Linked DNA regions of Schizosaccharomyces pombe. Changing the gene in region 2 together with the main gene of any one other region gives a genetic interaction. Each region holds a gene or a part of one and is shown on either strand. Other genes may lie near its edges.

Region 1 (3,730 bases), 1.9 Mb from region 2:
TTTTATGTATTGATTTTACAAAACACCGTGATTTGTGAAATCCTGATGACGATAGTTGTTGATGCTTCTTATGTAAGATAAAATTTGGAAATGTTACATCTATTCTCAGCTTTTGTTTGATAGAAAACGTTAGTTGAAGCATAAAGGTAGATAAATGAATAAATAAATAAGTCATGTTTACAAAGGATTGGTCGATAAGTATTTGAGATGCCATATCAACGTAGTAGTTAACTAATATTATGATCTATTTATTGATATAGAAAGGTTCCGCCGTGTGAATAGTTACCGCTGCATGTTATTTCATTGAATCACGTACATGGGTAATTTATATAACGCGAAATATTGTTTTTAGTAGCTGCAGACAAGTAAATAGTTTCCTTAGTCAAAGTTTAAAAGTAAAGCAGGAAAGGTGATCACCAGATGCATTTAAGTTAGTGAAAAAGATACTATAAAGGTAGAAATTGTTAATACATGAAGCAAAAAAAATTAAGGGTTTGAATAATCCATTTAAGCGAGATTGTTTTCACCTTAATAAAACCATTAAGGGATAAAAATAAATAAAGTTACAAAAAGGCTTTTTAAATCTTCATTAAAATACTAAAGCGAAATAACTAGGTATCATCCTGCTATATCTCTTTTTGTTTAGGTATATTTGCAAAGTATCAATAAGAAAAAAAAAAAAAAGATTGGAAAGCAAATGATTAGACGGTAAATTCAATACGATCACAGACGTATCCTTGATGGTTGGCCTTGTTTAATTGAATGAGTTCAAGAAAACAGGCCTTTCCCCAACTGGCTTGACCGATTGAAGAAATCGTCTCAATGGGGTCGGAAGTAGAGTAGTCAGAGCAAATACTCTTTGCATAAATGACAGGCATATAGGGATGTTCGATGACATTAAAAGGATCAGAAGTATCGGCCAAGTCATAAGCAGCATTTTGCAATTCTTCCAAGCCGGGAGTTTTCTCTACCTGAATATATACACGTTTGTAGAAGGAATCCCCAATAGCGACTTTGCCGAACTTTATGTTCAAAGGAGACTTGCGCTTGGAAGCGATATATTGCAAAACACTCTTAAACGATTGATTTGGTTTCAGCTTGATACCACGAGCTAAAGTAATGTGAGGAGCGGTAGGTAACTGCATTTCTTCAAAGTCGACTTTGTGACACACAGCCCAGTCGACAAACGTTCGATATCTCAACTCAATATCAGAGGAAATGGCAGGTACGAGCCAAACACAATAACAATGGTCTTCGGAAGAAACTTCAGCAAAACCATGACTTGTAGTCCTATCGGTCAAAGGCTGGGTCCTGAAAAATTGGGGCATGATGAAGGAGAAAGCTAGATTTCCTAATTACAAGGGGCTGGAAAAAATAAAGAGTAAAAAAAATTTAAAAGGTTGTCAGCAGTGAAAATTGTATGCAACGCTATAATGGTGTTGAAAAGAGGAAAAATAAATATAAAATACGTATAAATCCTTCGCCAATTTATTTCAACAAATATGTAGTCAATATTTTGCGTATTTTTTTTAATACCACACTATTCTTCTTTATTAGTAAATGAAACTCCAAAAAAAATTTTCACATACAGTTAAATTTCTGTTTCAAGAGTAAAACCGATATTTCCTTGTTCGCTTCGAAACCTGTCAATGCGCTTTTTTCGATTGCAAGGACAGAACACTAAAAAATATAAAATACACTCAAGCAAAGAATGTATTTAACACTTGATTTATTTTCCAAATTGCTTGTATAAGAAATAGAACTTGATTAATATTGTTGAACAGTGAGTTGGTTCGTTGGTCTGCTTATAACAGCTGGTGCTTTCACCACACTATGATGTCATCGTAGCGATGCGATAAATAGAAACAGCACACAGGTCACTTTCTCGTCCGAGGTTTAGCGCTCATTTGGCCGTGTGCGGAAGCATGTGCGGGTCTCTAAATTCACGCTTTATAAATGGTAAGATGGCGCAAAAAACTGTGTATTCCATTTAACAGCATATTTGGGTAAACCTATAAGTGCCTGATATACATATTGCGCATTTTATGAATAAATTTTATACAGTGAAGTGCAATGCATTGCAGAATCATTTGTTAGATATGCGGTATGCTTGATCTGATATGACGAGTGGATTTGCTGTGTTTTGTAGTCAATAAACAAACAACTAAACCTTTTCAAAAAATAAAATAAAATTGCAAGACTAAAAAGAAGCACTATAATGAGGCCCCTTTATTTTTATGTTTCGGAATTACCTCCTTTTACTTCCTCTTAAAACCGCAAATAAGTATATGCGTTTTTCTACTCATAAAGATTTTTACCTTTTATATCTTTTAATCGTGTAGAAATTTGTTATTTATTTTTATTAACCTTTTGTACTTCATTTCATATCATTTTATTTATTTCTTTATTTGTTTTTTTAATTGAGATGTAATAATTATAAATTTCGGGAATTGGTCAAACTATTTTTTTTCATACATTATCTGGAAAATAGAAAAAAAAGCGTATTGAAATCGATTCATTTATGTTGAGTATCTTGAATTTATTGGTTCAAGATTTTAACAATCAACTAACAGATCGCATATTTCATTAAATAACCGTGTAGGTTTTTTATCCTTCGCCCTTAAATACGCTCGTTTATTTAATATCATTATTAAAATTCTATTTTTGTATAATTTCTAATGGTCCTCCTTCATAGAAGAAACTCAAGAATATATGTTTGCAAATATACTTCTATAAATAAATAATAGACAAAGTAAACGATGTCCTCTTTACCTTTAATTTTATGTTCTTTGCTCCTTTGCACTTGGTTTGTTCCAAGATGAACGAGAGGATCGTTTTCTTCCTTGCCCGGTTCGGGATGCCTTTGAGACATTTCTTTTTCCAATTACTTTGGTGGGACTGTCAGCATCATAGTCAATCAAAAATTCATCAAAATCAATTCGATCACGCAAGATGGATAAAGCTACTAGTTCAATCTTGTACACATTTAAACCAGTAGCACTCATATTCCGTCCTTCTTGATCGTTGTCAGGTTGAGCAAGTATAATTGTGTCCTTCTCTTGAGCCCTTTTAATATCACCAACAATCTATTTAAATCATTAGCCTATCATAACTAGATATTCTCCATCTTTCACTTACCTCAGCTCCAGATGTTTCCAAAATTGAGTAAAGTCCGTGTATAGAATCCCCTACCATCGAATCTCGAATTGCCTTTGTAATGTATAGTCTTTTCCCATTGAAACACGTTCTTCTGTGGATATCGTCCAAACGAAATCCCCACTTGGCTTCTGCTTCCTCGTCTTTATATTTGTAGCTACGAAAATCTAAAACTTTACCTGATTTTATACAGTCTGTCAAGTATTGAGAAGAGACAAGTGGTATACCTAGAGAAGTCGCCAGTAAAAACTTATGTGTCCTCCGAAGTGGAGGTGAACCAAGGATGACAAAGTCGGTTTCGTCTGTGACACTTTCTTGCACCCTTAGACCATTTCTCCTTATAAAACTTTTCATCGGTTTAGTTAGGTTGAAACTCGACGTTACCAGATTTGTGTGCTTGTTTTTATTTTCAACTGCCGAGGACTGCACATTCTTGTCAGGTTGATCCTCTAAAGATGATGAGGGGAAAGAATAATTAGTGGAAATTGGTGCCTCTTCTGCTTCTCTGTTACTTTCATCCTGGGATGTGGATTCCTTCTCTTTGAGAGCGATTTCCGGCGCACTTCTTTTACTT
Region 2 (3,759 bases):
GTTTATTGGTTTGCTCCACGAAGGTAAGACAGAAAATTGTGTGAGGAGCGATTCTGGCCAAGTGAGCACCAAAACCCTTATATAAGGCAAAGAATCCTTCAGAGCGGATTGTTTTAAGGATGCAATCAATCGGATTTTTATAAAGCTCCTTGTTCTTTTGGTTGTACATACGAGTCATAACAGTATCGAAAATTTGCATGGTGCAGCATACACCAAATCCAGAAACAGCACTAGCAGTTAAGTGTTTGATCATACCCTCTTCCAATAGATTGTAATGCTCAATCATGCGTTTAGCCCAATTATAGATAGGAAGCTGAACAGAGGAACCAGAGACAGTACGGAGAATGGCAGCATCAGCACCAACAAACAAACCCTTAACACCATTTTCCTTAATAATACGACTGAATGCATTAAATATATGCTTGTAACCATACTGCTGGCCAACGGGAAATTTAGGAGAATACGACTGCATGCGAGTCTTAACCAAGAAAAAGGGAGAGCCAAACAAGGCACCACATAAACCTGAACCGGCGCCACTTGCAACGTTAATAGCTAATTTATTACCCTTGGGATCATCAAGGAACCACGTATTCAGAGTACGTCGAATCGGTTCGTAAAACCCGAGACGACAGCCATTGAGGCAGATTTGATAAACATAAGCAGTACCAAGGCCTCGTTGAAGACCTCTTATACCTTCATGTCTAGCGATTAGAGAAAATGCCTGACCGACGCTTTTGTAAATTCGCTTAGAAGGATCCAATTTTGTCAATTGACCTTGAAGTTGAAAACGCGTTTTAATAACTTCGAAAGGATTTGTCAGTGTTACAGCACCACAAGCTGCAAGACCACCTGACAAAAATCCACTAACGGGACCAAGTTTTTTCACCTGAGTAGGATTGTGTGCAGGAAGGGCTTTGATAGTTTGTTTCTCAGACATGACTTAATATTGGGATTTTTTCTTCGAATTTAAACAAAAAAATCTGCCTCAAATGGCAATTCAATTTGCGTAGCAAGTGTTGGCCGAAGGAAAAAGAATTCTTGCAGTTGAGATTTTTTCAGTGATAATAGCCTTGATTAAATTGTGCGCGGAAAATTTACCATTGCGGCAATTTGGGAAGGCAAAACGTAACTTTCGTACGGACTCAAAAAATAAGCAAAATGATACTAATAAAAAAATTATAGATTGAATTGCAATTTTTTTATTTACAAGGCACCCTAATTGCTCTATACTTTTTCCATTTTAATGCTAAATTAAACAGGTCACATGTTACTTATGTTTACTATTTGAAAATACAGATACTAGAACGCACTTAACCTCTTTAAATTAAGGATTTACCTACAATCATATATATTTTTTTTTTCTTTCTCTGTCCTACAAATATTTGGTAGAATTTTAAAATTTTTTGAATAAAAGTCATTTGAAAGTTTGAGTAATGTTTGTCAACAATAAATGCGATCGTTCGAAGGAAGGAAGGTACACACAGTTAACATTTAACTGACTTTACACTTTAAAATAGGATTCGTTGGAAACGCATGGTAGATAATGTTAAAGTAAGACAAATGCAAAATCATAGTAGCAGTAGCTTTAGATGTCATTCACTTCTGCAATGTTGTACTATTATAAAGAAAATGCCATAAAGTGATTCAAATAAGTGCATGCTCTCAACCGTCTACCCTTAACCAAAGTTCTTACTCAGACAATTAAGATGCCTTTTAGTAAGATTTTATACATACGGGGTATAAATTGTGATCAATGAAAAAAATGCAAGTACTAAATTTGATGGATAGTTTGTCGCAAGGCAGGCAATTGAATTTTGAAATAGAAATCAGTCATATTTAAGAATGGTAATTTGTTAGTAAATGCATTAAATCCCTGTGTAAATTATATGTTTCTATTTGAGTGCTTTACGTATCTAACGCATGTTATCCGAAAGCTGTCTGCTGTTGAGATTGCTTACTATTGAAATTAGTGGATATTTATAAAAGTTGTCCAGTGTGCCTTGTGTTTGGTGTTACGAATTTACTTTTCGCCAACATCCAAACACAAGTGTCTTTGGTTCAAAATCAGTATAGCAATAAGATTTAAAGATATAATTCTTGCCTATTTAAAGCCAAGACTACTTTTTTATATATTACGGAATTAACTTCTTTTCGCTCCTGTCAATTGGTCGCAAGTATCATTTTTTTGACGTCTATTGATTCAAGAATTAGAAGAATCTAGCATTCAATTGTACTTTATCTTTCACAATATTATATAACTTGATGTTTAAGAAGAGCATATGAGTGAAACAACCAAGTCTGGTTCTAAAAAATCAGGGCAGACATCACGTAGGGCGATCCATTCGTGTTTGGCTTGTCGAAGAAAAAAACTTAAATGTGATCATGGAAGACCTTGTTCCAATTGCTTAAAGCGATCAACAATCCAGTCATGTATTTATATAGATCCTGGGAAAACTAATTATGACAAGCGCTTTGAACGGGGTAGCGAAGCTGACGAATTGATAGATCAGTTACTATCCCGAGTTAGCATGCTGGAAAAACGTTTAAATGAGGTCGGCACTAAATCGCAATCTGATTATGAAAACCAACAATCTCATAATCTTCCTTCCACGCCTTCGGCAGATGCTGAGACACAGCGAAACATTGGTTCTCTTTCAGTATTAGATGATACAAAATCACAATATGCTAACTACTCGTCCTCTTCACACGTACTCTGGCATTTAAGGAATTATCATTATCTTAACTTAGATCAAGATATTCAAGAAGAAAACGATTCTCTGATTAGTCCGTTTTTTTTTCGAATATCCCCCAATGAATCTGCATACGACTATTTACCCCCCAAAAAAGTATCGGATATTTTAATTGAGCAGTTCTTTTTTCGGTGTCATATGCTCATTAATGTTTTACACAGACCAACTTTTTATGTACGATATAATGATTTTTGGGAAAAACCGCACTTGCGAAAACCAGCTTTTACTAGTTTATTATACGCAATCTATGCTAGTGCATTACTAGCTACACCTGTTGAAGTGCAAAAGACATGGGCGCTTGGTGAAGACGAGAGATATCTTCAGGTAGATTATCATCAAGCTTTTCGCTACGCACTGGCTTCGTCTAATTTTCTGTTTGAACCAGATCTTAATGCTTTGCAAGCTCTTGTTCTTTGTCAGGTTTGTGATATTGAAATGGGTTTAACTAACTCAATTTAGGTTGTCTTTGATTCTGACCGCATTCGCGCTCCACCTTCCTTAGTCGGCTTGATTCTTCACGTAGCGCTATGCATGGGCCTTCACAGAGATGGCTCGCTTTATGGACTTAATCCGGTAATTTCCGAGATTAGACGTCGTGTGTGGGCGAATATAGTCTTGTCGGATCTTAGAACTTCTGAAACTATTGGTTATCCTCCTCAAATTGTTGAGGGAAATTATGATACACGTCTTCCCTCTGCTTTACCTGATGAAATTCATAATGTAGATTCTTCCGTTATTATTTCTGAGGCCACTTTTGTTAACATTATCACGAAGGTTTCACGAGCATATTCAAAGTGTTTGAAAGTTTTGCTAGGCATTATAGCTCCTAATTATACACGTTTATTAGAGCTTGACAGGGAGCTTTCCAATTTTTTTAAAGAATTGATAGAAGTGAATATTCCAACTAGTAATACTATGCACGAACGGCATATTCGACTTTTAGTTTCCTATTTGTCAAACAGATTCCCAATTCTCTTGCATTTTCCGTTCCTTTTAAAAAAAAATTCTG

Evidence for each region. A genetic interaction does not mean that the proteins touch.
Region 1: of toe2 (region 2) and SPOM_SPACUNK4.15, changing one suppresses a phenotype caused by changing the other (phenotypic suppression), as found in Schizosaccharomyces pombe (one study listed by BioGRID).

Annotation. Positions count from the first base shown.
Region 1 is NC_003424.3:2,880,404-2,884,133, forward strand, and holds SPOM_SPACUNK4.15 (2',3'-cyclic-nucleotide 3'-phosphodiesterase), read right to left. Parts: upstream 1,779-3,730; 5' UTR 1,590-1,778; intron 1,541-1,589; 5' UTR 1,329-1,540; coding exon 702-1,328; 3' UTR 560-701; downstream 1-559. Other genes in the region: BRCT domain protein Mdb1, read right to left, coding at 2,781-3,086, 3,139-3,730.
Region 2 is NC_003424.3:1,019,638-1,023,396, forward strand, and holds the start of toe2 (protein toe2), read left to right. Parts: upstream 1-2,032; 5' UTR 2,033-2,279; coding exon 2,280-3,170; exon of another isoform or gene 3,171-3,209; coding exon 3,210-3,759. Other genes in the region: oac1 (anion transporter), read right to left, coding at 1-937.